Linked DNA regions of Mus musculus: all the other regions are reported to be linked to region 1. Evidence: microRNA targets listed by miRTarBase, many of them from high-throughput screens and not tested one by one. Region 1 holds a microRNA gene; each other region holds the end of a gene's coding sequence.

Region 1 (4,066 bases):
GGCTCACGGAAGAATGGAGACTGCACTTTCTTGACTCCAGAGGTCTCAGCCAGATGAGGGAAGCCTGCTTCCACAGCCTCATGGGCCTCTGGTGCAGCTATGGGTGGCAGGAGCTGCTGCCTAACTTGTTGGGGTGGGGGACTAGAGGAGAGGGGAGGATAGGCTTGCTCTGCACCCAGCCAGAGGTGGCAAAGGACAGCTCTACCACAGATCCTTCACCAAAGCTGTGAAATGGGCATCTGGTTCCAGTGAGATCTCCACTTACCTGAAACCCATTGGCAAGAACCCAAGCCAGACACAGCCAGGCACAGGGCTCAGTGACCCATGGGGACAAGGGACTTGATCCCTGAACAAAACCCACCTTAGGCGACAGCTTTGTTTTGCTTTAGTGGTTCCTAAGAACAAAGAACAAAACCAGACTAAACCAGTGCTTGGCTGCTCTCTCCAGTTCAGAGGAGGTATGGGCCACTGAGGTTCTCAGAGGGGCCTTACAGGGTGTGTGGTTCTTAGTCCACCTCTAAGCAAGGCCAGAGTGCTTCTGAGAGCAGGAAGGCATAGACTCAGCCATTTATTTCAAGTCTTCACAGAAATCAGGGTAACATTAAGTAGAATTAACACACTTTGATACTTGTACCATTGTGGTATACAAAGCAGATAACCATTTGCAAGTCCCCTGCAACCATCCAAATGCAGTCACTGCTACAGCCCAGGCTCTGAAAACCAATGGTTCTGTGCGGACGCTCCTCTCAGTCTGTCCTAGAGCCTTTGTCACCCAGCAGGTCTGGGTGCAGAAGCCTGGCCAGCCAGTGGGATGCTCCTTCTGGTTCCTCTGTCCACCGCTCTGCCTTGGCTGGGCTCATGTGACTGCACTGATGGCTCAGTCTCAAGCACCGTTCTCTAGACAGTGACTGAAAGAGCTTAGAGCTTGTTCTGAGACTCCGCTAGTACCAGGCTGGCTGAAACTCCACATTTGGAAGAGAGCAGAGTCCCAAGCCACACTAATTTCCCTTTACTTCCAACCTTTTTAGAATTAACATTACCTGGAGGTAGGAAGTGTGTGGAAAGTGCCTGTTCTGACACACGTTCTTCTTTGCTTTTAAGGAGCATCAAATTCAGAAGCAAACTGGAACACTAGCAAATCTGGTACTTTATTAAGACATTTTAGGCTTTCCTGCATTTTCAAAAACAGGAATGCTCTGTTGACTGAACACATCAAAAGGGCTTTGCAGAATCCTTGGGGACCAGCCACAGGAGGTGTCACATGATTCTGCAGTCTCAGAGCATGGCAGCTAGTTTTTGCAATCACAGGAAGCAGGCAACCGGCTCTCCATCTGCCTAGGGGAGGGTGTCCTTCATTGAATGACTGCCTTAAAGTCACAGCTCAATTCCAGTGTGTAGACTCAGTCTCTCTAGGACTGGGAACAAAGGCAGCTGCCAGGTGCAACAGTTTATGAGGCTCCGCCTTTTATATATGCCACGGGAGCCCAGTCTCTGGAAGCCCAAGATGGACCAACCACTGCTGTGGGCTGATGGCCTTAGCAGCCACATAATCCTCCCTTTGATGTCCAGGGTCAGTGCAGTCCTGGCCCCACCAGGGCTAGGAGAAGGTATATGAGAATCTCACTGTGATCTGTCCTGTGGAGGAAACAGCAATAAAATTTATTACCCAGTCACCACAGCCATTCCAACAGGAGTCCTCCCAGCCTCTGACCTCCACTTGAGAGGGAACTTTTCATGGGAGGACAGGGGCAACACTGAAGCCACACCTCACAATCCTGGGTCTGGGGTGCACAGTCACGGCACAGGCCATGCAGGGCTGTGAAGCCCAGAGAGGTTCAGAAAGGCTCTACAGACAAGGCCCTTCAGACAGGCATTCTCACTGCTCAAGGCAGCGGTGACATGGTGTGCTCTGCCCCAACACGTGGCAAATGCTCAGCGCCTGCCCTACCTGCTTCTAGGGAATGCAAACTTTCCAAGGTTAGCTCTGCACTCTACAAATCCCCACCTCGGGAGCACATACAGAGGGATACCACTGCTGTTGGGTCTGGTACCAGACACTCAGGCCCTTCATCTTCTTCTCCGTGGGAGGCCTGCCTCAGGCACTTACAGATGGGTAGGCTTTTTGCTCAAGGGCTCGACTCCTGTTCCTGCTGAACTGAGCCAGTGTGTGAAATGAGAACTGATATCAGCTCAGTAGGCACCGGAGGGCGGGTCCAATCACAGCTGGGCAGTGCCTCCTGGCGTGCCCTGGGCATCATCTTGCCAGCGACTGTGGAGACATGGAGACCTGGACTGCAAATACAAGAAAGAGTTCACCACGCCCAGCAGGGACAAAGAACCACACCCCCACCCATCACGTGTGGCATCAGCTGAGACAAGGTTGGCTCAGTTTCCTTGATGCACCTGGGTTTAGTTTTCTGTGACTCCCAATACACTTGACATTACAGTGAACTAATTAGCAGTAGAACTGTATTTTCTGTAGACACACTTAAGGGTGGTCAGCACGCTGTTTGCACTCTTGACAACACAGCCTTGAGGCAGGCTGGTCTCTCCTCCTCTGGAGTGACCACCAGGCAGTGGCCTCTGCCTGGCAGCTGCAAGTTAACTGTCCCCATCTCACCTTCTCTTCAGGTGCAGAACTTAGCCACTGTGAACAAAGCGGAAACCAATCACTGTTCACCAATCAGCTAAGCTCTGCACCTTGTTAGAGAGGTCATCGCCGGCCATAATTAAAGGGCTGGTGAGCATCTTCGAAGGCTGTTGGCTTCTTTTGTTTCCAAAGAGCCACAAGGCGCCTCTGTTCTCCAAACTGCAGAGAGAAAGTAGCCACGGTTCTGCAGGAGCAGCCAAGGTCATGGTTGCGTGGTAATCCCTGGCAATGTGATTTTAATCTCAAGTCACAAATCAGCATGCCAGGAACCCAAGCAGCCAGAGCAGGTGAGGGCAGCACCATGCCCAACCACTCCCATCCACATGTGCTGAGTGTCCTCCAAACCGCCTCTGAGCCCACCACGCTAGCAGTGCAGCCTGCTGTCCTTCAGCGCGCTGGCTGCACTGTATAGAGGAGCATAGGGGACTGGGAGACAAAGGACACACTTATCAGCTATGAGACCAATACCTTAGGGACCATCCTTGCTCTGAGTATGTGGCCTTTAACCCTGGGACACACCCTGTTCTCCAATTGCAGACTGAATGGGTTGGGATGTCTCTGGGCCCCTCAGACAGCAGGTGTGGTGTGTAGGGAGGGAGCATCTCTCTGGCTTGCCTGTGACCAAGCATTTGGTTGGATAAGCTGAGGCATAGCACAGAGCTCATAGGGGACCTAGCAAGTTGAGGATTTGCTCACTCAGGGGGCAAAAATACTCTTAGAAGAGTCACTAGGACCACTATGTGACTATGGCTTTCCTAAGTGAAGGCCTAGGGACCTAAAAAGGGAACAGTGGCTTTACTGTGTGACCTTCACACACCACATACCAACAATCCCTCAGCTTACAAGTTTCTAGAGAAATGTCTGCAGGAGGCAGTGAAGAGGCGCCCCGACCGACTCTGTCTATCCACACAGGCCACCGTCCTAGCTTGTAGTGTGCAGGCTTAGCAGGCTGTACCTGCTTACTCCAGCCCACTATCTCCCCTGCTTGACTGTGGCGGTCCCCAGCTCTTCTGCAACAACATGGTCATACATAGTAACATGTTTTCCCTTCATCAGTGTAGTTCTTCAGAAAAATAAACATTACACAGAAGTGGGTTTTATAAAAGTGAAATGTGAAAATGTAAATTTAATGTCTGACAATGGGTTAAGATTAGCAACACAATTCTAAATATTCATTAATTGGTAATCATAGAGAACAACAGAGTAACACAGTGATTGATGTAAAATTTCAAACATATACAAAAGTAAACATCATATGTACCACCATGGCAAGCGATAATGTCCTGGGATGATGTAGAGATGATGACTGGCGACTATGAAAGAGACGCACTAGCCCACACCTGTCTCAGAACTCCACGCCCTGTGGCTGAACTGCATTACTGGTCCACAAGCTGGCTACAGAGGAGGCAAGTTACA
Region 2 (4,066 bases), not on the chromosome of region 1:
AGCTCCTGAGAGCAGGCTCTGCCACAGAGAACTCTCAGCCCACAAGTTGGGCAGAGTAGGGTTTATAAAGTTTTACAATTACATCATACCAGGGAACAGGCTAAGAGGTCTTTTCTTTTTTCTATCTTTTTTTTTCTTTTTTCTTCTTCCTTTTTCTTTCTTTCCTTCTTCCTTCCTTCCTTTCTTTCTTCCTTTTTCTTTCTTTCCTTCTTCCTTCCTTCCTTTCTTCCTTTCTTTCTTTCTTTCTTTCTTTCTTTCTTCTTCTTCTTTTTTTTTTGTTGTTGTTGTCATTATTGGTTTTGTGGGGCTTTTTTTGTTTTGTTTTTTGTTTTTTAATAGATTATTTCAGGGTCTTTCCATGTAGCCCTGGTTTGTTGCACAAACCCCTCTCCAGTACAATTTTCACCACGGCAGGTGTCTTAGCTCTCTACTGCTGTGATAAACACCATGAGCAAAAACAGCTTGGGGAGGAAGTTATAGTTGGAACTTAAGGCAGAAGCCTAGACACAAGAACTGAATCAAAGAGGCCAGCCTGGTCTACAGAGTGAGTGCCAGGACAGCCAGGGCTACCCAGAGAAACCCTGTCTCGAAAAACAAAAACAAAACAAAACAAAAAACAAACAAACAAACAAACAAACAAAAAACCAAAAAGAACTGAATCAAAGGCCTTTGCTCCCTATGGCTTGCTCAGCCTGGTTTCTTTTACAATCCAGAACTACCTACCCAGCGTCGTCGACACCACCCACATCAATTACATAGGAAGGAGATGCACTATAGACTTGCTTCCAGGCAAATATCCAAGTGGTTTCTTGAGTTCCTCTTCACAAATGACTAGCTTGTGTCAAGTTGACCTCAAAGTAGCGGGGATGCCTAGGTTGGTTACAAAGTACCTTAAGGACAGCTGAAGAAAGGAACAGAGGCGCTAAGGGCTCTCAAGTTTGTGTTTGGACAACTTGCAGGAATCAGTTCTCCTTTAACTGTGTGGGCTTTGGGGATTGGACGCAGATCAGGGTGTAAACACCTTTACCTGCTGAGCCTTCTCACGGGGCCCGGTTTAGAAGTCAGCCTGCTTTGTAATGGAGTTCGCCTGCTAATGGTCAACTGGTAAGATTTGGTTTGGTTTTTCAAGACAGGGTTTCTCTGTGTAGCCCTGGCTGTCCTGGAACTCACTTTGTAGACCAGGCTGGCCTCGAACTCAGAAATCCACCTGCCTCTGCCTCCCAAGTGCTGGGATTAAAGGCATGGGCCACCACTGCCCAACTAAACGATTAGGAAGACATCTCAGGTGAAACGTTTTATATATATATAAATACTTTAAAGATGTATTGTGGGCTGGCGAGATGGCTCAGCAGGTAAGAGCACCTGACTGCTCTTCCATAGGTCCTGAGTTCAAATCCCAGCAACCACATGGTGGCTCACAACCATCCCTAATGAGATCTGACTCCCTCTTCTGGTGTGTCTGAAGACAGCTACAGTGTACTTACATATAATAAATAAATAAATCTTTAAAAAAATTAAAAAAAAAAAAGATTTATTGTATGTATCTGAGTACACTGTAGCTGTACAGATGGTTGTGAGCCGTCATGTGGTTGGCAATTGAATTTTAGGACCTCTGGCTCTGGTTGGCTCCGCTCTCTCCAGTCAACTCCACTTGCTCAGTCCCTGCTTGCTCTGGTCCAAAGATTTATTTATTATTATACATAAGTACACTATAGCTGTCTTCAGACGCACCAGAAGAGGGTGTCATCTCATTACGGATGGTTGTGAGCCACCATGTGGTTGCTGGGATTTGAACTCAGGACCTCTGGAAGAGCAGCCAGTGCTCTTAACCGCTGGGCCATCTCGCCAGCCCCTATACATTCACGTATGCATAAACATAAAGCTGAAATAAATAGTAATAAAATTTGAGTTTTTCAGAAATAAGTTCTGGGACAAGAGAAGATTTTTTTTTAAGGTACTGTTTATTTTGTGGGGGCCGGGGGGAATGTGTATGGGTGTTTTACCTGTATGTAGGTCCATCTTCTGGGATACAGGTATGAATGGCGCCGTAGGTGCTGGGGATTGAACCCAGGTCTTCTGCAAGAGCAGCAGGTGACCATAATCCTGAGCTGACTTTCCAGTCTCTCTAGGTATTATTGAATGAGCAGCTATTTGGTATGAATTTACACTAATGGTGTAACTAGGTATTTTTTGGTTAGTCTATTTCCATTATCAGGCTGGACAAGGTTTCTCACTGTGGTTTGAATAAAAATGGCCCCCTGAATCATACTTGAATTCTTAGGGAGTGGCAGTAGGGGTGACCTTGTTGGAGGAAGTTTTGTGTGTGTGTGGGGGGGGGGGGCGGGGTTTCAATACCCAAGGCCCCGTTAGTTCTTCCAGCTGCCTTCAGAACCTGCATGCTTCCCACCATAATGGACAAAACCTGAGCTGCAATTCCAAGAACTGCATGTGGTCATAGTGTGCCCTTGTCAGATCTGGATTTCCTGAGTACCAATTCTAAGGAGCCAACAAGCTCTATCTAGGTCTCTACCTCCCCAGTGCTGAGAGGAGTGTCCTGGGGACCCTGTGTCTTAGCAACTCAGTCTTTCAGCTCAATCAGCTTCTTGAGTACACTGTAGTTGTCTTCAGCCAGAAGAGGGCATCGGACGGCATAGGTCAGCCACCAGATGATTGCTAGGAATTGGACCTCTGGGAGAGGAGTCAGTGCTCTAAATCTCTCCAGTCCCCACGCCACCAACTTAACTTTCTTTTTTAATCTTGATACAGGTGTCACTACATAGCTCCAGCTGTCCTGGAACTAGGTAACCAGGCTCGCTGAAAGGCAGGAGATCCATCCACATGCCTCTGACCCTGAAATCAAACTGACCAGCTACCCAACTTCATCTTAATAAAAGAGCAGAGCCATCACTGTTCAAGGTTTTATTTGGCATGACACTTGGGTGGTTGGTTCCATCATCCATATGCAGATCTTACATCTCACATAATATTGCAATGCACACTACAGACACATATAATATATAAAATATCCTGTACAACATTTATGCACAAGATATGCATCATGGACGTACACACTGGAGCCAGGTTATACGACTTAACTGGGAACTCGTCGGCCTAGGCATGTTTGGTGCAGGGCAGCAATGCAGCAGGCTCACAGGGGTAATCGAAGCCTGCAGTTGGCAGTGTGTCTCAGAGACAGTGGGACTGTCACACTAACCAGGTCACCACTACACAAGTACCACTTGGCAGCAGGGCAGAGCTGTGGGGAGTGAGATGTTTCCCCACACCATCTCAACACCACTGTACTAACCACAGCTCAGACGAGAAGGGTGTGGTCTGCCTAGAAGCCCTGCTGCAGCCTGGACAGTGAAGTGCTAGGACACGGGGAAGACTTTAGAACTGCAGCTCCTTCTGGATTCCCCAGAGGGTGTCTGCGCTCTTCTTCAGGCGGGCCTCTTCCTCAGGAGTCAGTGTCACCTTCACAACATCCGAGATTCCATTTTGTCCCAGGATACATGGGACACTGAGGAAGACATCCTCATTGATTCCATAGAGACCCTGGACACAGAATGACAGAGATTACATCTATTTTGTCCATACCTCCTAATATTCCTTGGGATTTAGACCTTTACAAGTATAAAGACTTCTTCTTTTAGATAGATCTACCTGCCTCTATCACCCGAGGTCTGGGATTCAAAGTTTTACCACGGCTTGGCTTATAAAACAAGTTGAGTGTCAATGCTATTCTATTGCAGAGTTGTCCAGGTATGATAATAATGAACAGTGAAGTCTGGCAGTGGTGGCCCACGCCTTTAATCCCAGCACCTGGGAGGCAGAGGCAGGCAGATTTCTGAGTTTGAGGCAAGTCTGGTCTACAGAGTGAGTTCCAGGACAGCCAGGGCTATACAGAGAAACCTGTCTCGAAAAAACCAAAATAAACCAAAAAAAAAGCACTGAAATAGAAAGTCAGTAAGAAAGCAAGAGCTAGGTTTGGCACGTGCCTGAAACCCCAGCTAGAGGCAGGAGAGAGTTCAGGGCTATCCTCAACTACCTCACAAGTTCAAGGTCA
Region 3 (4,066 bases), not on the chromosome of region 1:
CCAGCTCCATCAACAGCAAGGACTGACCTTGGCTTGCCAATCGGTGAACTGAGGGATCCCTTCAGAGCAGGTCCCAGCCAACCCAACAATTAGGCCAACATATTCTCTTGAAATGTCCTGCTCAAGTTTTCTTGTATAATACAGGCTAGGTTACAGGATGAAAGCAAGCAGGGGCAAAATCCATAAAAACGGTTCCACAGTCCACCTGTGTGAGATTACATGGTATATTTCACACCTCTGGACACCGGCTCACACACACTACAGCACATTAAGAATACATTTTAAATGCGGTTATAAAGCAGAAACTAAAAGTCTGAGAATGTGAAATAGGCTCTGTGTGTGTGTGTGTGTGTGTGTGTGTGTGTGTGTGTGTGTGTTTGTACATGCGTGTGTGCACCCTGCACATTCTCTCCCAACTTCCTTATGGGACTTCACTTTCAGAAGACACAATGGGAACTTTTTTGACACTGAAGTGGTTAAGGGGTGAGAAACGTACACACAAAGGGAACACAGTTTTCCTGAGAACGACCATGAGTAGAACTCACCAGGAAGACACCCTGGCTTGTTCTCATGTCAGGCTGGTTTCTGGGACCAAATCTTTACTTCACCAGTTCTAAGCTAACAGCCATCTAAGCAGTGCCCAGGACTGGCCTGGTCAGGGCTCCAAGGCCTGCAGGAAGGAACACTGCAGTATTTCCCGGGTTGGGGCCTCGGGGAGTAGCTACTAACCCTGTCCCACAGGCACACTTTGAGATGGGGACTTTATGGTTCCACCCCATGGCTCTCACCTGAGACATCTCAGAGGCTGTGAGAACAGATGGCACACAGGCTGGCAAGCAGGAAAACTGCACAGTGTTTATGCTCACACAGCGGGAAACATAAAACCACACAACAAGTGACAAACACGGGACTCCTGACAAGGAAAAGCACGAACACTTTATTTCTGACACAACAAGATGAGTGTAAAGCAAGTTATGTGACCCACTGAGATCTGTGCGGTGCTGAGAAAGCAGTCTCTGGGCCTGCCTGCTTACTGGAACAAACAACACGCTATACAATCACAGGGTGGCACAATCGCAGGGTGGCACTGTTCTCCTGGCTACCTGACTGGGAAATTCTCCTCTTTCACAAGACTGGAGAACTCAGAATAGAAACCTGTGGCTGGCAGCTCCAATGAGCACTGGGTTTCAGTGTCTTAGGACACCAGCTTCCTCAAGCCTCAGCTGCTGCTGCCCGAGCGTGAGTTTTGGCTCCTGGGGCGCTGGGGTGTGGTGTGCCCTTCTCTACCTAGTTTAGTGATCCAAGGCCATTTTTCTATCAGAAGTGCAGTGTTGCTCCTAATCTCCACTGAGAATCTTAAGGAGCAATTGTAAAATACACCTCAGTGTATTTCCTTTTCCGGGTGCCCATGACATGACTTAATAGCAACAGGGGCTGAGAGTGACACGACCGTCTCCATGGAGTTGCCGAATTGGTGAACTTTGAGGGCAAGTCAGAGGACAGCCCTAAGGGCAAAGCTCCCACTAGGGGCCTCATGGCCAGAACCAAACTGAAGGCAGCAACACTGTGTTCAGTGCGGCCTGGGAGCTGAGAACAAAAATCCCCAATGCGGACAAGTCAGTCAAAGCTGAGAGACAAGGAGCTGCCCGCCCCGCCCCGCCCCCGTGCGCACAGCGGACACTCTGAGGGCTGGCTGAGTGTTGGAGGCCACAGGAAGACTAATCTGAAAACAAATTAGCACAGACCACGGTACTTGGGGAAGTCACTGCAGCCTCTCAGCGGTGGGCACACCGAGCAGGGCTGTGGGTTAGTTACCACTCTTGGGGAATAAGTTCCTTCCCTGCCAACTGCTCCTTTCCATGTCAAGCTCAACCTATTAGGAAGGGAAAGAATCACAGCTTACACAAACCCCAGCAGAAGGTCCCCAGGAAAGTACAAACTACAGCTACACCGGTCACATTTGATAAAGTGGACACTGAGTCTTGAAGAGCCAAGCCTCTTGACAGATTAGGCCGGCCACAGTTCTAAGCAGGATGTAGGGATTCTGAGGACGTTTGGGTATGACTAAAATCATGTAGGAAACAAGGTGACTTTTAAACAGACACACATACGCTCATCTCGAGAATACTATATACACAACACAGCAGCAACACAAGTGGGCTTCCAGGCAAAGGGTGTCTGAGCAAAAGTCCTCTGCTCCCCACCTCTTAGGGCTCCCCCAGAAGGACTCAGCACAGCAGCAAACCCGCGGCACAACCACAGAGGCCTCGACTCTAAAAGGTGCGGTCTACAGGACCACCCTCTAGAGGCCACTGTGCCTGGCTGGGGCAGAGAGGGCTGGGACAGTGCCCCCTGCTGCACACATCTGGAATATGTAAGGGCTTCTTTTCCATACTTCATAAATTCTTCATGCTTTCTGAGAAAAAGAAGTCTGAAATCTTCTCTCAGTCTATATGGTGAAAGCAAACTACATAAGCAAAGCTCACCTGCCCTCTGCAGAATTTTGGCTTGGACAGATGTTCATCTGATCAGAAAGCCTCTCCCTCACAGCTCTACAGAGGGCAGCCCCCACTGCTCTCACAGCTCTACAGAGGGCAGCCCCCACTGCTCTCACAGCTCTACAGAGGGCAGCCCCCACTGCTCTCACAGCTCTACAGAGGGCAGCCCCCCACTGCTCTCACAGCTCTACAGAGGGCAGCCCCCCACTGCTCTCACAGCTCTACAGAGGGCAGCCCCCACTGCTCTCACAGCTCTACAGAGGGCAGCCCCCACTGCTCTCAGACAGAGATGCCTGCAGAAGCCCCAACGAGAGGTGTCAAGGACAGCAAAAGCGTGGAGCCCGTGAAGGCCCGTGCAGGTGGGAAAGCCCTCAACTCATCACACACAGATCAATGTATGATCTCTCGCACAGCCCAGAAACAACTGGATGGGCAGGGGTTAGAGCCACCAAGCAGACACCCTGAGCTGGGCAACACTGCCCTTCATGTTGCTCAATACTTGTACTTCAGAAACCCAAATGGTTCTTTCCTGTGACTTCTTTGCAACTCAAAGCTACAGCTTACTCACTGCCCACACTATAAACAGACAGTATATACAGATTAAAAACCACACACGCACAAAAAGGAAAAAGAAAAAAAAATGACGGTGGTGAGTTGAAGCTTTTCATTATCTAAGTCACAGCAGCTGGGCGGCCTTGGCGACTGGCCCCCACTCCATCCTGCTCCAGCTCTCTGGGCCCCAGGTGGACTCTACTCATCTTCCAAGGCAGATGTCAGAATCCCCTTGTCAGTTAGGTGAGACTTGAGCGTGTTGAAGATGTGAAGCTGCTGATCTGGCCGCAACGTCAGAAACTGCTGGATCAGTTTGCTTGGGTTTGGACCCCTACAACAGAACATAAGGCACCCCTGAGCAGGGGCCAGCTGCCTCGCTGGCCCAGTTACCCATGGGGTGCTATGAGCCCTGGATTCACTATTAGTGGAGGGAGAGAGACCTCAGAGGATTTGTAAACACTCATGCTTTCAAAGCCCACTCAGCTGGATCCGGTGGAATATCTGGATCCGGTGGAGTAGTTCCGCACCTGATAAAGCTGGCGATGTACACATTGACAAAGGTGGCCATCAGGTACTGGCAGTCAAAGCGATCCATGATGCCTCCATGACCGGGAATGGTATTGGCAAAATCCTGTTAGAGGAAAAGGAAGGAAGGATGGGCCTGGGCTCACCAACAACCAAACTCCAGACTAATGGATCCACCCATGACCAAAACCCTGCTGGGCAGAGAAGGTGATGGACAGAGGCATACAACCAAATGCCCAGGTGATCACAGGACAGGACTGCAAATTACAACGCGGTCTCTGGTTGAAAGAAGCACTAGCAAACCAGATACTTGCACTTTCATTTACTGTCCCCCAAATTCAGCACATGGGTAAAGAAAAGCACACAGTAAGTGCAGGGGCGTGACCTGGTATGAGGGGTGCAAGCTGATGGAGCAGGGCGGGGAAGAGATGGGCGACCAGGAGTGAAATGGGAGAGGCAGGTGGGGCAGAGTTCCCCTACTTTGATTTTAA
Region 4 (4,066 bases), not on the chromosome of region 1:
TCTAGGAAGGCTGGATAGCACCAACCCTTGGGGAGGGGGTGGGGGGTGGGCGCAGTGCCTTCCCAGTCTCCGGAGGATGGGCTGATACATGCAGGCCTGACCTCTGGGTCAACAGCTAGTTTGACTCTACCTTGATCTGCAAGCCCGGAAGCTTGTCCTTTGGTTCAAAGTGACAGCTACTCCAGCTTCATGGGAGTGAATTTCTAGCCATTATCAGACTACACAGAAAAGAATCCCTTTTGTGTGTCATCTTCCTTCCTTCCCAAAGAGACATGATGTTAGTCCCCAAAGGGGGATTCTACCCGCTCTGTACTAAACTAAGTTAAAAATACTGCTAACAGAAACAAACAACAAAATACTGCTGGAGCAAAACAAACTAAAGCCAAGCTAGACTGTGAGGGAAGCTAAAGGAAGAAAGTGAAAGTTGGAACACCTACGACACAAAAATAAGCCCTGCTTTCTGCATCTCCCAAAGAAATCATCTTCCAAACAGTATCCCTCCTTGGCACAACCCATCTCTCAAATCAAGTATTCATTCCTATAAATATGCCAAGCAGCTGTCCTCTTACCTGCCTCTACATTAACTGTAGAACTGGCCTCTCGGTATCCCCCAGCTGCTGCAAGTTTCAACAAAAAAGAAACACTTAAACTGTGTTCTGCATTATTCCTAGGGAAAAAAAGTAACAGAAACTGTTTTATTTTTCTTAGTAACCATTTTTTTAGAGCCACAGTATCCCAAAATAGCAAAGGTAACTTGTTTATCTATAACCATAAGGGCTTGAGGCCCCCATATGTGTATGAGTGAACATCCTGATAAAGGCTACTACTTGGGAACCAACTGTATTACATAACATATTGAACTATAAATCTCTGAATGCTTTTGCCCAGGCTTTATATAGTATTTATAACCCCTCTTATTTTTCATGTTTCTATGCATTATGATATTTTACATAAGTTTCAATGCAAAATTTTCAATTCAAGATGGATACCAAGACTGAACTGAGTGAGAACCATGCAAACAGAAAGAAAGAAGCTAAACTTATTAGAATCTCAACACACTAACTTTTTATTAAGTTTGATTCAAAATAATATTAATCTAATAGTGAAATAGTTTGATATAACATCAATCAACATTTAAAGTATACTATGTTTCAAAGTATGGCTCAAGGAACACCCATTGCTTAAATGCACTTAGACATAACAAGACAATGTTTTTTTATTGGCATCATTGACACCTTTGAACAATAGCCTCGTAGATAGATTAAGGTTTAACCTTTCTTTTCTTTGGTGGCTGTTTAGAGACTTTTAAAGAACAGATAACTCATTTCAACAGGAATCTACTGATATTTACCTCTGCAGAATGTTTAGCTAAGACATAGAGTGCCAGAAAACAAGCTTTTGTTAGCTTGACCCCCTCTGTCTCCTAACAGAAGGTATCCCCAAATGATGCTTTTATTTTAGATGTATTGATCTTTCATCTAAGTCTTGGCCTTTCAAACACTAAACTCGATCAAAGGCCAACAACCTGACTCCTTCTGAAGACTGAGAAGGAAGCAGCAACATGGAATTTCTTTGAATTGTTTGTGAATTACTACAAGTTTTAAGAGGTCAATAAATCCTGGTGCTGAGCTAAATCTAATGGTAAATAATTAATTACATATCTTAGACACTATAATCTTTATCTTGGTAAACAAAGAAACAGCTTTGCCAAATAGATCTTCCATCTACATAATATCTTAAAGGCAAATAATTAAATATTGCCACAAAAAACAGGGTCATATTTTGTTTAAATTAGACATTAAAACGGAAGATAAAATGCAAATGCCCGTAGTTTTAAAAGGGGGGGAAAAACACCAAATTAACTGACCTAGTCTTTTTTGAGTTTATTAATACCATTTAAAATATTACAAATAAATCAATTACATTTCATGCATTTAAAATGCAAGTCTAATGTTCCAGAGAAAGGCTTTTCATTTCAATGTGAAATATCCAAATTATTTCAACATGACAATGAATAGTTAGTTTGCAGACTCTGCAAACAACACTTAAATGTAGTGTCAGGAGTATTTGTCAACAGTTAACAATATCACCTTCAGGAAATACACAAAGGCCAAAGTTAGTCGAGTATCACTTGGACAATTTATTTAATACATGGGTTTGGCAGACCCCGTTATTATGAAGTATAGGAGAACTCTCACTTTAACTATACCTGAACTGCCAGCAAATGCAAATAAGTACATGCGCCATTAAATTAAATGTCATCCAACATTTATCAAATAGTGTCTTAGTTACAGCTTGATACCTATCTAAATTCATATTCGAGCAAAACTAGGCCCGGAAAGTGCGTGTGTGGCTCTGCACCTCCAGAATTGAGTTCAAGGAAAAAAGAAAAAGGAAAAAAAAAAAAAAAAAAAAAACACCTGCAGCTCATTAGAACCTCAGCAATAACTCTTAATAATTCCTTCTGACGAAAAAGAAAAAAAATCAAGTTTACTTCAATATATTTTCAAATATTTACCGGAAGTAATGTACAAGAAAAATACTATACAAAATCGTCTCACACCTCACAGCGGCGGAGTCAAGTTTAATGGGAAACTAATCTAGAACGATTTTCCAGTTGTACAAACCATTAGGTTCAGATATATTTTACAAAGAATTTTTAAAAATTGTTTCCCCGTTTCCCTCTTTTGGCATTTAAACTACAGCCTCATCTGAAATAAACGATAGCTTCTTCACTTAAGTTTAAATCACAAAGAAAAAGTTTAACCCTAAAATTAATCAATGACTTGCAATAATTTACAGAAATCAGTAGATAAATTGATTCCTAGACTAACCCAAAAGTGGTGGTGATGTGGGAAGTTGGAAGAATATGCTTGGGGATGGTGAAAAAACCGAGGTAGAAAAAGACAAACACGAAGATACTTAATCTGGTCTCACCGGAAAGGGGGTATTTTTGCATAAGAAAAGACACCTACCCTCACTCCCGCCCCCACCCCATAAATTACGGCGACCAAAATAACTTTGGGATCAATATTTGCAGTTTGGAGAGAAACGTGCTCGCAAGCAGAGGAAAACTATCTAAACGAGAAGCTAAGAGGAAGATTGCTTGTTTATTTTTTTCCTCTCAGTTTTTCAGTTAAAAAATAAAAAGTTACAAAGAAGAAAGGAGGGGGAGGCATTGATTCCCGTTCGCAGAACTCTCATCGGTTCACCCGCAGGGCACAAAGACCTAGCCAGAGCTGAATGGGGAGATCTAAACTCTGCTAACCCGGTCTGGGTTGCAGCAGTCCTCCCACGAGTGTAATGCTCAGCACAGGACAGTCCAAGGGGAGCACTCGGGGGTCCAGGAGGGGATTCCTTGGCAGGACTCCTACATCCCTCTCCCTACAGCTGCGGCTCAAGCGGGTTGAACACTGTTCTTTCCAAGGCCACAAAAGCCACTGTTCTACCAGACAACCCATTCATCCCGTCCTAACCCCAGAGGCCACAGCCTCTTCAAAGTTCCGCCAGCCCAGTGCTGGAGGAGCGGGTTTCCACTGCGCCCCGCATGGCTGTCACTGTGCAGAAGGGAGCCAAGGATTCAGCCACCGATGTGTGCTACTTACTGTCCACATCCTAAAAGTTAAGAGCAGAAAACCGGTGAGAGAGAGAATGAGAAGTTGGGGGAAAGAACGCACAGCTAGCCTAGACTGGAGCCCAGTCTAGGTACACAAGCCCGACGGGATTCAGGTGGGAGGCATCGCGACAGTCACTCCAGGCCGTTGCGGTGGCCCGGCTCTGGAGGCTGCAACAGCTCAGGGGAGTGGCAAGGAGGGCTTCCCGCCGCGCTGTGCTCGCTGTCGGTGTCGCTGCCTTTCTTGCCGCCGCCGGAGCCCGCCGAGCCGCCGCCACCACTGTGTGTCTTCACGTGCTTGCTCAGGTGGTCGCTGCGCATGAAGCGTTTGTTGCACACCGGGCAGGCGAAGCGCTTCTCGCCCGTGTGGGTCCGCAGGTGCCGCTGCAGCTCGTCGGAGCGCGTAAAGCGCTTACCGCAGAACAGCCAATTGCACACGAACGGCCGCTCGCC
Region 5 (4,066 bases), not on the chromosome of region 1:
TTTCTCTCTATGAAGAAAGCAGAGGTGGCACCTCTAAGCACTATTTCATAGTCTTGGTTGACTCTATCACATGTACAACCAATACTGATATAATCCCAACACAACAATTGCTGTCATTCCTTACCATCATTATTTTATTTAATAAATAGTTCCTCTATCCTTTACCCTTATTATTTCAAACTTTGAAAGCAATTACAGTGATGATGTATGTTTTTTCTTCCATATCTTTCTCCTTCATTTCACATATTTGAAGTCATCAATGAAGTCATCAATGATGTTAGTTGGGGCATCATTTCAGGACAGTGGGCCTGGCATTTGTGTTAGTCCTCAGTATGATGTCTGTTTCTTTTCGCAGGTTTCTTCCATGCTCCGAGGATTCCTAGATCTTATGTTGGTGAGGGAGCCCTCTCAAAGAGCCACAGCTCAAGAACTCCTTGGACATCCATTCTTAAAATTGGCAGGTCCACCATCTTGCATTGTTCCTCTCATGAGACAATACAGACATCACTGAGAGGATTCACACAGGATGCAAAGCTAGGCAAAGACATGAGAATGATTCAGGAGAACATGAGGAAACCCACAGAACATGCAAAGACCTGTGCTTTCTAAACCAGCTGATTGGTGGAACAGTGTGATGACCTGACCGGCAGGGTTCGACAGACCAGGGCATCTTCTAGTGTCTTAAATAATAGGCATCTCTCCACTGACAGCTGGCATGGTCATTTGGAGCATGGCTTTAATTAATAAGTCATTATTATACATTTTCAGCCCTTCCAGTAAATCAGAAGGACTCAGTACAAACTCCGTTACGATATATCCTAGCCACATGCAGGGTACCACATAGGATTTTCTATATTGAAAGAATACTTTTCTGGCAAAATAAAAAAAAAAAAGATAAAGAAAGGAAGAAAAGAAAATAAAAAGCACTTTTTTTCTTAATGGTAGCAGTGTAATGTATTTTGCAATGAATTTGTAACTTTTCTGTACGATAGTTTTGATAATTTATAGTACTTTGATGTCACGTAGCCATTGTCTCGGTTGAAGTAACACTTGTTTACTAGCAGGAGTTTGAACAAAGCCTTTCCTACTTTTTTATCCCTTTCAGAGAACCAACGATTCTTTAGGAACTTTGAATACTAAATGACCCTCAGTCACCGTCAGCTTTAGCAGAATATCTTTCTTATCTTAACAAGTGTCTTATGTAGTGGAAGAAGAGTTAGGAGGGATGGTGATGGTGCGGACACTTCGCTTACCCAGCCAAATATAACAAAATAAAATTTGAGCCACAGAATCGCCAAACGATTCCTTGAGATAATGCTAAGTATTTTGAAAAATTACATTTCCTTCAAGGATTCTGGGAACACCCCATTGGTTTTTTTTGTAGAGCAAGATATTTCCCTTGATGCCCACCTTCAAATAGGCATGGCATCCTCAGTGGCCAAATTTCCCTCCCAGGGAGTAATTTTAGCGCTGGGATCTTTGGACTCAGATCTCCAGGTAGAATGTTTCAGTGAGACCATGGAAATACCAGGCTCACAAAGGGAGAATGAACAAGGCAAGTTGTTTGGTTTTGTCCGTCACTGTTTCTAAGACTTTGTATGCTAGCACACCAAACTCTTGTCTGTATTTACCTTCATGCCACAGTATTTATCACTGTTATTCATGTATTGTGCGGAAAGTCTGAACGGATGATAGAGGATGAATTAGCAAGGGGGTACTTTACCAAGTATGGTCTAACTTCAGTGGTGACCATGTTATAATGTGTTTCTGACATAAGGAGAGTTGTGCTGCTGTCTCGATCTTCCTGAATGTTGATAAAAATGAATGACTACTACAATACATTTTGTGTTGCTTGTTGGATGAATTTGCATGTTAACTGTAGGCCAGTATAGATTTGCCTTTAAAACTCTGGAAGCGCTACATAGTCATCATTAGTTTCTATTAATTATGCATCAGACAAAAGCCATTTGTTACCAAACTGGAAAACCAGAGGCTTTATTTAATGACTTTGCATACTGTAACAAATATGAAAATATATTTGTGAAGATACTCTGGTTGCTCTAAGCATAATTAAGAATTTTTTGTAATTAATAGGTTGATAATTATTTATTTTAATTTAAAAGGAAAAAAGGCATAAAATGACCTTCTGCTGATTAGCTGTTCAATTTTTCCCCAAACTGGAAATGCTCTACAATAAATAGAATCTATAACTTTGTTTTATAAAACACAGAAGATCAATGTTTTATGAAAACTGTTAAGATCTTAATACAAATATGTGAGAGTAACGGCAATCTCAATTCCCAAAATGGTAGTCCTAAAATGTCACAAAAAAGTGTCATAATTCAACCAGGACTATGTAGGGGAGGAAAGAGAGTAAACCAGAATCATTTTAAACCAGAATCAACATTGAAAAATTCATTGCAAACTCTGCAGAAATAACAGATTTTGGACTCAAACAAATTTCGACGGTGTAATGGAAAAAAATTTTTTTTCTGTAATTTTCTTATCATTGGGCATTTTTTTACAGTATTTGGTGAGTTTACTAAATGTTACTGTAGCTTAAAGGAATCTGTGAGCAGTGAGCATTGGCAGAAGCTGCACCACAAATAAAGTAAGTGTTTGCCTTTTTCCCACCGTGCTGTTGGAGAGACTTGTGTTCTGACTTTGTCTTACTGAGTAAATAGGGATGGTGTGTGTATGACCTCAGGGGTGCAAATGAATTGGTTTATGTATGTCATCATGGTGGTCATACGTTCTATAGTTATCATGATGTTTTAAACTGAAGATGAGCATTCCTACCCTCCAAATTACCAATTGTGCAAGAGTGTGATACAGACACTCTACTTAGAAAAGAATATTAAATTCTGAGAAATCAGGCTCAAGGAAAACCAGAAAGAGAACTAAGGACCTCCATTTTATCCCACGGAAGTTGAGCTGATTTGAGGCAATTTCACTAATGAATTTCACTAAAAAGTCTTAGCTAGAGAAGGAGCTCTCATACTCTAGAAGAGAATTCGGTATCTTTATCACTACATTGAGCAGCCCTTGAAGTTGAAGAAAAATGTTTGTGTCAAAGAGCCCACTTCTTGTCTAGAAATTTTAGAAGGTGACCTTCATGAACTGACCTGAGACAGAAAGATGAGAGGGGATAAGTTCATTGTATGTCAAGAAAGAGAAAGATGGCAGCAACCTTCCACTGGCAAGCCCTCAGACTTTGTTGTAAACGAAAGAGGCATTATGTTTTCTTGGCTGTGTCTGGCAGAACATGGAGAAGAATTAAGGAACATGTTAAACTACTTTTAAAATGTAATGAAGAACAGGGAGATGACCAACTAGAAAGGATACTTGCCACCAGAACTGGCGACCTAAGTGACATTCCTGGAACCAAATGATACAAAGAGGCAACTGACTCTGGTAATTTGTCCTCTACCTCCACATGCATGCCATGGTGTCATGGTGCATGACACCATGGTGCATGTGTGTATGTGTGTATGCGCGTGCACATACACATACACACACACACACACACACACACACACACACACACACACGTAAGAGATTTTTTTAAAGTAGTAAGATGTGTAGCCACAATGTGCATTGGAGGGAACTTTAGGGAGAGATGTCTTCTTTTCTGCAGGAAAAGAGGTCAGAGTGACACTGAAATTGTAAACAAGTGTATCATCTATATAGCATCTCTTGTAAACAACAGAGGCTGGAGCCTTCAGGCAGAACCAAAATGCGTTTTGGTAATCTTTCCCCCTTTCCTTCAAAAGCATCTCATATTAGATATATAAGCAGAAGGTTGTCTACTTACAAGTCCCCATAGATTTGGCCATGCCACAGTCTGAGACCCCATAATGTGGGGGAGATGTAGGAGAAAGAGGGACTAGAATATCATATTGTATACCCTACCATGCCTCCTGCTGCTCTCTCTTTTTCTTGTACAAAGTCATCCAGTTCAAAGGGAGATGTGTTGGTTTTGAATTGATGTGAAATTGACTCTTTGAAAGCCTTAGTAGGTAAATGGAATCGGACATAATTATGTCTGGGTTCCTGTTACCCACCT
Region 6 (4,066 bases), not on the chromosome of region 1:
GTCTGAAAATGGCAGCTGATCTTGAATCTGGTCACTCTGTCACCCAGGGAGAGTGAAGTCACCCCATCTCTAGCCTCCTTTGTTCGCTGCTTTATGTGGCAATAAGGACAAAGTAAAAATGGGCTTATGATAGTAGTTTATAAAACTGAAGGGGCTGCAAAAATACAGGATGGTTTTTGATGCATTCTCTGTCCTTGAGTAACTGTTCCTGACTTTTCTCCAGGGATCAAGTTTGTGGTCCTGGCAGACCCTAGGCAAGCTGGAATAGATTCTCTTCTCCGAAAAATTTATGAAATTTACTCAGACTTTGCCCTCAAGAATCCATTCTACTCCTTGGAAATGCCTATCAGGTAGGTAGCCCCATTCACCAGATTCTGCCAAAGCTTTGTGCTAGCTCCCAAGTCATTTAAAGTGTGACCAAGCACTGCTTTTAGGGAAAGACAGCAGTGACCAGCTCTGTTTGTCTTGAGGACACAGGGTTTCCGTAGGCTTCACGTTCTTCAAGTCATTCCTACCGATTCTGCCTCTACCCTTGTGGTGGAAGTCTCATCCCTCACAGTTTCTTGTCTTCTGGGTCTGACCTAGATGCGAGCTGTTTGATCAAAACCTGAAGCTAGCTCTAGAGGTGGCAGAGAAGGCTGGCACTTTTGGACCTGGGTCATAGGATGAACCTGGAATGGACGCCCTAAATTCTGAGACGTGCTCCAGAGGGCTTTGCTGTGTCTACTCGGTGAGGGTCCTGTTGTAGCAGCCTTGCTAATATACTTGAAAATGGTAGACCACTGAGCCTGGTGATGGTGACAGATCCTGGGCTCGAATGCTGTGTTCTCTGCCCCTCTGTATATATTACAGTCCTACTCTGTATAGATTTATTTATGGAGGAAACTGGCTTAGCAATGCTGAAATAAACATTCCTTTGTTTTAGTGTTTTCTCTCCTAACTGATCATTTGGGAGAAGGGCAGGGGAGGGGAAGGCAGAATTGCTAAGGGCATTCAGTGAATATAAAGTACTATCTTCTAGAAAACAAGACAAACGATGTTCATTAGACAAACTAGCAGGATAGCGACTCTTGAGCCTTAGAGGCGGCCCGGCCCCAGAGCTGCTGGTTCTCTGGGGCCTGAGGTGGCCGTGGTGGATGATGGGACACTTACTTACTTGCACTTGAAATCAAGCTAAATTTTATCTCAGTATGATCTCTGACCCTGCGGTGTATGTTCTGTTCTAATCTCTTACAGAATTTAGCACATTATAAAATACCTGTGTTTCAGAGCTCTCAAGCCAGTTACAAATGGCCTAAGTGTGGACCCATGCTTTCAGAGCCCCCTTCCTTAAACCTATTTAACCTACCTGCAACCTAGTGTAAGTGTACAGCATTAGCTGCATGCCGAGCTTGTACTTAAAAGGGTCCATCTGCTGGGCGTGGTGGCGCACGCCTTTAATCCCAGCACTCGGGAGGCAGAGGCAGGTGGATTTCTGAGTTTGAGGCCAATCTGGTCTACAAAGTGAGTTCCAGGACAGCCAGGGCTACACAGAGAAACCCTGTCTCGAGAAACCAAAAAAAAAAAAAAAAGTCCATCTATTACCTCTGCTGTTTCACTCCAGAGAAAAAAAGTCTTTCCTTTTGGGGGTGGAAAAAACAGATACTGGTAAGAACACTTTCCCAAGAAAAGCTTTGTCTAGTTTATGTCTCCCTTTGAAAGGATGAGCCACTGACTGTTTAGTATCAAATCTAGCTTTATTGATCTATACAAGTCGGTTTGCCCTCTATATTCTTCCCTTTTGTCCCAGGGTATTCATGAGAGTGGTGGACTCCTCTCCTCCCTTAGGGACTGAGGTATTGGCAACAATTTTGCCCCCTGCCAAGAAGCCTTGGGGTACAGCAGAAACCACAGGCCATTAATACTCACTAGGAGATCAGGACCTAGGAGAAGAAGAAGGGTATAGGAGACACTCTGAATTCAGGAGTTGCCTGTCTGCCAGAAGGTAGAAACAGAAGCTGATGGAGTCTAGAACCAAACATCATCATTTTAAATAGAGCATGGGATGGGAGTCGGGACCTCATTAGCCACTGGTAACTTGCAGCACCATGGAGGTTCAGAGAGACAGTGGAGACACAGAAACGTAAAGGTTCTGTGTTAGCCAGAGCAGCCGCTCTCCTTTCCGTGTCCTGCCAGTAAGGCTGCAGTTGGGGATGCTCCATAGCGAGGACTCGATTCACTCTCCCTTCTTGGATACTCGGCCCATCTTGGTGCGGATATTTCGAAGCAAGAAGAAGACAACTGTGCTGGCTCCACAAACCACTTCTGCCACCCAGAAGGCTGTGCTCCAGCTATAGTGCTTGGCAATGGTGCTGAAGGGTAAGCCAGCCAGAAATCCACCCACTGCGGGGAGAAGAAGTGAGCCACATGTGAGGGTTAAGCTGGGAGGCATTCTGCCTCTAATAGGCCCGAGCAAAGCAGTGAAGGACTTACCATTGGCCATAAGTCCCACAATAGCATGAGAGGTTCCACACAAGTTGGGAGGTGCACTCTCATTGGCTATGACTCCAAACAAGGCAATGGGACCATAAGAAGAGAAACCAAACACGGCTCCTAAAACCAGGATCCAGATCTGCAAGAAGAGCGAGAGGGGGCATTGAGAACTATAGAGTGTCCATAGGTGCCTATTGAAGAAAGAGAGCCTAGCCGTCAGGAACAAACTAGACAAGGCATAGTCGGGAACCATTCTCACCCCACAGTGAATGAGCCAACCCCAAAGGTCTAGGTGGACAAGGACAGGGGAGATAGAGTCACCCCTCAGAGTTGGATGCTGGCTGTTTCAGACTTTGTGCAAGCTGGGCTAATTAAGGGCAAGATAAGGGTGAAACAAAAGTACGACAGACCAGGAGGAAAACCAGAGATATCTTTAAGGCACCTCATGCTCCGTAAAGCCTGTGAGCTCAGCCAGAGGATGGAGAGCAGGAGTCCAGAAAGCATCCTAGAGAGCAGAGGAAAGAGAAGAAAACCAGGCCCAGAGTGGAGGCGAGACACAAAGTACCAAAGAGGGAGAATAAGGTATAAACAGAAGCAAAGGGAGAAGGAGCGGGCCCAGAGGAGGATGTCTTACTTCCTCTCCTTGTACCTTTCAGCCAGCCAGGCTCTCTATTTACCTTGGGTGAGTCACTGGTCACCGTTACTCGGAAGAGGAACATGGATGCTGCCATCCCAGCCATCATGAGTAGCAATAGGCCGTGACGAGGGTTCCCATACAGAGACAGCCCTGCCTATGGATACAATAACAGCCATATCAGGCCCTCCAAGCAGGGCAAAACACTCCCACCCCTGGACTCTGACACAGCAGGGCTATTGCTGACAGGTCTTTGGCAATCTGTCACAGTTCTTGGACCCAGACAGCTCTGGGAGGCCCTGGGAGCTGCTCCGTGTTCTGAGGCCAAATTCCACAACATCCCTTCCTCCACCTTGGGGCAGGCATGGGACACGTGCTAGGGAGCTGTACCTAGTCCACTGCCACCCCTAGTTTTCTTGAGGCAGAGAAGCCTACTAACTAGGGAGAGAGATTCTGGGTCTCCTTCAGTGGGAAAGAGAAGCTCACCAAGGCAGGTCAAGAGAAACCTGGAAACACTCCCATCTCACCCAACGTCTACCCTCTGCTAACCAGCTCATTTGCCAGGACTCCCATCTCCACTGGCTGGCCCAGCCATGCGAGGAAGCCTCAAAGGGCCTCTCTTCGCAGTTCCTCCTGCCCACTCACCTTCGCCATGGCCCTGTCTGACAGGTAACCAGCTGCAATGCTTCCTACAAGGCCTCCGACCTCGAGGGCACTGATGTAGGAGCTACCTGCATGGGGAGTTGTGGGGAGGAGGAAGGGAAAAGAGTGAACAGGGATTTCCCATTGAGGTTATCCCAAGGTACAGACCTACCTCCAAGGATGCCCAGCCTTAAGGGGGAAGTAGAGAAAGGGAGAGAGGGTGGAGATCCCATCTCCTGCATTGGCCCCTGGTTTGTACACCCTTCTCTGTCTAAACACTCATCTTACCCACAAGGGCGGACTGCCCTCGCTCCTGGA
Region 7 (4,066 bases), not on the chromosome of region 1:
GAGGTTTGGGGGCTGGGGTGGGATAGAGTGGAGGAAGATTCCAACAGAGCTTGAGCCCCCAGCCTCTAATGGGGTCCAGGAACCAAACTCAGCAGCAAAGAGCAAAAGCTAGCTTTTAAAGTGAATGATGCAGTTCCAGATGGAAGATTGGGTTAATTAGTTTCAAGAATTCTTTCTGCTCTCCTGGGTGCAGGGTCCAACTGTGGACAAACCAGGGATGTTTTTAGGAAGAAACTTCCATAAGCCCTGGCTTCTTTGCCCAGCTTTGTAATCTTGTTGGGGGTCTGGGGTTGTCTAGAGGTCGTGGGGACTCAGGCGGACTTTCTCCATGCCTTCAGGTACCCAACACCGTCCTCATCTGTATGGTGATCTTGCTGAACATCGGCCTGGCTATCCTATTTGTTCACCTCCTGACTTGACCCTCATCTACCAGGTATGGCCAGAGGATGCAGCCTGGAAACCAGGGTGGTGGGGCTTGGTACTTGGTACTGGGCTGCTAGGTAAAGCCCACCCCCTAGTGTACAGGTGTGATACTCCTTGCATCCCAAATACTCAACCCCATCTCTCCCAGTTGAACCGCCACCACCTTCAGTTTCCTGTCCCTCCACATGCCCTTAGTTGGCTCTGTTTCCTTTCTAGGGTAGAATTTGGGCTCAGGCTAAAGGACAGTAGCCCTCGCTGGTGTGAGGATGTTCCTGCTGCTGGGACAAACCTTACAACTTGAGTCTGGAGCTTGGCCACACTGCATCTTGCCTCCTGAGGAGGTTCCTCAAGAGACCTCCTGCTTTGATCCTGGCTTAGTGTGGCATAGCAGTTTCTAGGCAGGCCCAGGAGTGGGGAAGTCCTTGTTCTGTCTCTGGCAGCGTTAGCCTCACAGGGTCTGATGCTGAGTTCTGGGGGTTCTTCAAGTTACTGGGCACCTGAGGGGCTTTTCTTCAGGCACTTAGGACTTTGAGGGTCCAAAGAATCCAAGTGCCCAAGAAGACAGCAGGGAAGGGACAGGATGGGAGGGCCAGCAGGGAACAGGAGGGAGGCAGAGCAGGGGCTTGAGCCCTGCCCTTCTTGTGGCTCAGCCTTGGACGTCTTCTGATGACTGGTGTTGTCTCCATCCAGTGCCAGGAGTTCCACTGAGGATGGCAGGACCTGTCTTTCTGCAGTGCCAAGCAGGTGTCCCAGGAAGATGGGACTTCGGACCTAAAACCTTGCTCACATCCACTCCATGGACATTTAAGGAGGCCTCCAGAGAGCCCATGCTGGGTGCCGGAGTGCCAGAGGAAGAGAATGTACCCCCGAGGTACAAAGGATGCCCTGAGGGAATAGCCCTGGTCCCCTGAGCCCCGTTTGCTCCTGCACCTGTTCTCAGCCCTGTCCCACCTCACCCTGCCACCCTTCCCTGGGCTTTTGTGTGTTTTGAGAGATATCAGGAAAGCAAGATATTAATACAGATCTCTCCCTCTTCCCCCTACCCCGCCCCCAATCTAGTCCTCCGGCTGATGGCTTGAGGCCACCCAGGAGGATGAGAGGTTCACAAGTCCCTTGGGTAGTGCAGTCAACCCCAGCCCATGCTGTTCAGGGTTCTTAGAGTTCTGGAGGGCAGCATAGGAAACAAAGAAGCCCAGCTGAATATACCAGCATGCAATGTTCCGCATCCTCCAACTAGTCCAGTTGGTATCCCCTAGGACCAGTGGGGGAGGGGTGCGGGGGGGGAGGGGAACCTGAGCATCTGAGCCTTTGGCTGAGAAGCCACCTACAGGGGTCTGGGGTGGGGTGCTAAGAAGGCGAGGCATGTTGGTGATGGCCCCTGATTTTGAGTGTGTCTGAGCCTGAGGCTGGAGTTCATTTAGGGTCATGGATGTTCCCTGGGCATTGTGTAGGAGCTCTGGGCCCGAGAGCTACAGCTACTGTGATATCCTAAGAATTGACTCATCCCTGTCCCCCATCGAAGCCATGGTGGGATCGGGGGAGCATGGCACGGAAGTCTGAGGAAGTCAAGAGCTGAATCCCTGGTGCATACTCTCTGGCAGAGGCTGGAGACACGCGTTATGCAGGGGAGCAAACCTGGGCTCTAGCTGGGTGCAGCCCATGCAGCAATGATTCGTGCTTGGCAGAAGGTTTACCCGCATGCACCTCACTTAAAGAAGTTTGCACCACACTGCGTGTCTGGGCCCTCGGGCTTGCTGGGTGTAGCATGGCAGCCCAGGACTAGTGGGTCCCCATTCCCAGGAGGATGGAAGAAAAGAGTTTCCAGGCCCCTCCAAGTTTAGGAAAGAGGAGGTGATGGCATCCAAGCTGAGCTGGAGGAAGCTGCTGATCCTCTTTGACTTCACGTCTCTGGACCTCTCGGGCTTGGGCATGGAAGCCAGGCACCCTCCCAGGGGAGCCTTGAACTGGATATTGGGGTTCAGCTTCCTTTTCTTCTAAATCCATGGGCACCCTCTCCTCTAGAGTCACACTGGCTGCTCTCAGCACTGCCGGGGCTTGGTGGCTTGGTTGGAATCGCTTTTTTTACTGAGAGGAGCCTGCGGATGTTCCTGTACCTGCCGGTGTAGGCAGGACTTTGCCTCTGGTTGGGTTTTCCTGGATTCCAGGGAATGAGGGGGTGGGCGGAGGTTCCTCGGGAGTGACAGGCCCTAGGCCTTGGTTCTGAGGTCATTGCTCTACTCTGGGTGCAGTCCAGCCCCGAGGACGAGCCTGTGACTGTCAGAGCTATCAGAGCTGTTTGGGGGTGGGGGGATGGGTTCAGGATGCCAAGTCTGTGCCAAAATAAATCCGCATCTGCTCACAGGTTCAACTGCACTGTGGTGTCTGCTTGTGGATCCCGGATGAGGGATGAGGGCAGCTGGGCGAAGGACACGAGGAGAGGCTGGGAGATGGCCAGTCCTACCACTTCACATTCTCTTTCAAAAGATGCTCCAGGACCATGCACACATCTCTCGTAGTCTTTTTCCAAAAGCTGCTCTGTTCAGCCTACGTCAGCAGCTAAGAGTCTGCTCCTTGAGGCTCTCTGGACTCCAGTCCTGGCTTAGACCCTTTATGTCTGGAGCCTCCATTTATAGTGCCCCATCTATAAAATGGGGGCCACCTGCCTGCCTCCTGGGGTTACCATTAGGGTTACACTAAGGACTGGAAGGGCCTGGAGGGTTGGCTCCGTGGGTAAGGTGCTATACAAGCATGAAGACCTGAGTCTGGAGCAACGGAATCTACACAAAAGTGGAACGTGGTGATGTGCACCTGTAACGCCATCTCCTGGGGTTGCTGGCCAGTTAGCTTAGCGGAAACGGTATATTCCACGTTGAATGAGGGACTCTGTCTCAAAAAATGGGATGGAGAGGCAACTGAGGTAGACATCTTGATGCCAACCCCTGGCATCTGTGTGACCCACAAGGTAAATGCACTGCACACACACACACACACACACACACACACACACACACACCACACCCAGCTACAGAAAGCTGCTGAGAAATATTTATCTCCTGGCTCGCTTGCACAGTGTTATGTATGATAATGCCCTCTTGCATTTTGATGTAGAGACTCCAGGAGCCCCGAAGGCATAGAGATGGCTTAAGCATCCACTAAGCAGCTGCAGGCTGTCTGATTGGAAGCACTAAGGCCTCCTCAGAGACCTGGGGTGGGGGGTGGGGACGAGGCAGGCTTACCCTGGATTGCCCACAGCAGGTTCTTTGAGGAAGACGGCTCTCTAGCTTGGATGGGAACAAGCAATGTCCATTAAGGTTCCCTCACAGCTAGTAGCCAGGAAGACCTCAAGAGGACCGAGCCTGTCACCACCCGAGCTGCACCATATGCTATCAAGTGTCCTGGCTGCCGGGCACTGCTGCTGACTGGCTGTGTACACCCGTGGGTGCCTTCAGTTCTCTTTGTTTCCTTCACCATGGAGAATAGCTCCTCACAGGAGAGCTGCTTTGAACCACATATGTATTCTGGATGGAGAAGAGGACGTGGAAACTCTATACCCTCATGATTCCCAGGAGGAGGGTTGGCTGCAGGGCACCTCAGGAGGGTCAGTGCCAATGGGAATGAGGGCAGAATTTGCTTAGCCTGCAAA

Evidence for each region. Region 1 holds the annotated microRNA mmu-miR-24-3p (UGGCUCAGUUCAGCAGGAACAG, at 2,142-2,163, opposite strand). A microRNA usually pairs through its seed, bases 2 to 8, with sites in the 3' UTR of a target mRNA and lowers its output. Matches are read on the target gene's strand: a 7mer-m8 pairs with bases 2 to 8, a 7mer-A1 pairs with bases 2 to 7 and ends in A, and an 8mer does both.
Region 2: the mRNA of Ldha is a reported target of mmu-miR-24-3p. The part of its 3' UTR that is shown has no 7-base or 8-base seed match.
Region 3: miRTarBase lists Cds2 as a target of mmu-miR-24-3p. The part of its 3' UTR that is shown has no 7-base or 8-base seed match.
Region 4: miRTarBase lists Sp8 as a target of mmu-miR-24-3p. Seed matches in the 3' UTR shown: 7mer-A1 at 1,160-1,166.
Region 5: the mRNA of Pak7 is a reported target of mmu-miR-24-3p. Seed matches in the 3' UTR shown: 7mer-A1 at 1,280-1,286.
Region 6: miRTarBase lists Trappc4 as a target of mmu-miR-24-3p. Seed matches in the 3' UTR shown: 7mer-m8 at 783-789.
Region 7: miRTarBase lists Jph2 as a target of mmu-miR-24-3p. Seed matches in the 3' UTR shown: 7mer-m8 at 1,331-1,337, 7mer-m8 at 1,724-1,730 and 7mer-m8 at 1,818-1,824.

The regions. Positions count from the first base shown.
Region 1 is chr13:63,299,348-63,303,413 of GRCm38, reverse strand. It overlaps Mir24-1 (microRNA 24-1), which reads right to left and starts at 2,206; the gene lies at 2,139-2,206. It overlaps Aopep (aminopeptidase O), which reads right to left. Exons shown (of 16, transcript NM_001289926.1): 16 at 537-4,066. It overlaps Mir23b (microRNA 23b), which reads right to left and starts at 2,930; the gene lies at 2,857-2,930. It overlaps Mir27b (microRNA 27b), which reads right to left and starts at 2,702; the gene lies at 2,630-2,702. It also overlaps Mir3074-1 and a transcript of Fancc not described here.
Region 2 is chr7:46,854,466-46,858,531 of GRCm38, reverse strand. It overlaps Ldha (lactate dehydrogenase A), which reads right to left. Exons shown (of 8, transcript NM_010699.2): 8 at 2,905-3,555. The coding sequence ends at 3,391. Gm39011 (a long non-coding RNA gene) reads left to right here. Exons shown (of 3, transcript XR_882073.3): 3 at 2,767-2,905. Among named protein-coding and RNA genes, the nearest start is that of Gm39011, 4.7 kb to the left of the region's middle.
Region 3 is chr2:132,304,468-132,308,533 of GRCm38, reverse strand. Cds2 (CDP-diacylglycerol synthase (phosphatidate cytidylyltransferase) 2) reads right to left here. Exons shown (of 13, transcript NM_138651.7): 11 at 4,056-4,066; 12 at 3,578-3,681; 13 at 1-3,381. The coding sequence ends at 3,249. Among named protein-coding and RNA genes, the nearest start is that of Gm46766, 43 kb to the right of the region's middle.
Region 4 is chr12:118,849,555-118,853,620 of GRCm38, reverse strand. It overlaps Sp8 (trans-acting transcription factor 8), which reads right to left. Exons shown (of 2, transcript NM_001379379.1): 2 at 1,043-4,066. The coding sequence ends at 3,749. Among named protein-coding and RNA genes, the nearest start is that of Sp8, 4.4 kb to the right of the region's middle.
Region 5 is chr2:136,079,666-136,083,731 of GRCm38, reverse strand. It overlaps Pak7 (p21 (RAC1) activated kinase 7), which reads left to right. Exons shown (of 10, transcript NM_172858.2): 10 at 356-2,644. The coding sequence ends at 511. Among named protein-coding and RNA genes, the nearest start is that of Lamp5, 24 kb to the right of the region's middle.
Region 6 is chr9:44,400,618-44,404,683 of GRCm38, reverse strand. It overlaps Trappc4 (trafficking protein particle complex 4), which reads left to right. Exons shown (of 5, transcript NM_021789.2): 4 at 224-350; 5 at 586-925. The coding sequence ends at 664. Slc37a4 (solute carrier family 37 (glucose-6-phosphate transporter), member 4) reads right to left here. Exons shown (of 8, transcript NM_008063.3): 4 at 4,037-4,066; 5 at 3,752-3,837; 6 at 3,150-3,263; 7 at 2,473-2,611; 8 at 1,718-2,382. The coding sequence ends at 2,216. Among named protein-coding and RNA genes, the nearest start is that of Mir7085, 2.2 kb to the right of the region's middle.
Region 7 is chr2:163,334,972-163,339,037 of GRCm38, reverse strand. Jph2 (junctophilin 2) reads left to right here. Exons shown (of 6, transcript NM_021566.2): 5 at 339-433; 6 at 1,114-2,796. The coding sequence ends at 419. Among named protein-coding and RNA genes, the nearest start is that of Gm35750, 19 kb to the left of the region's middle.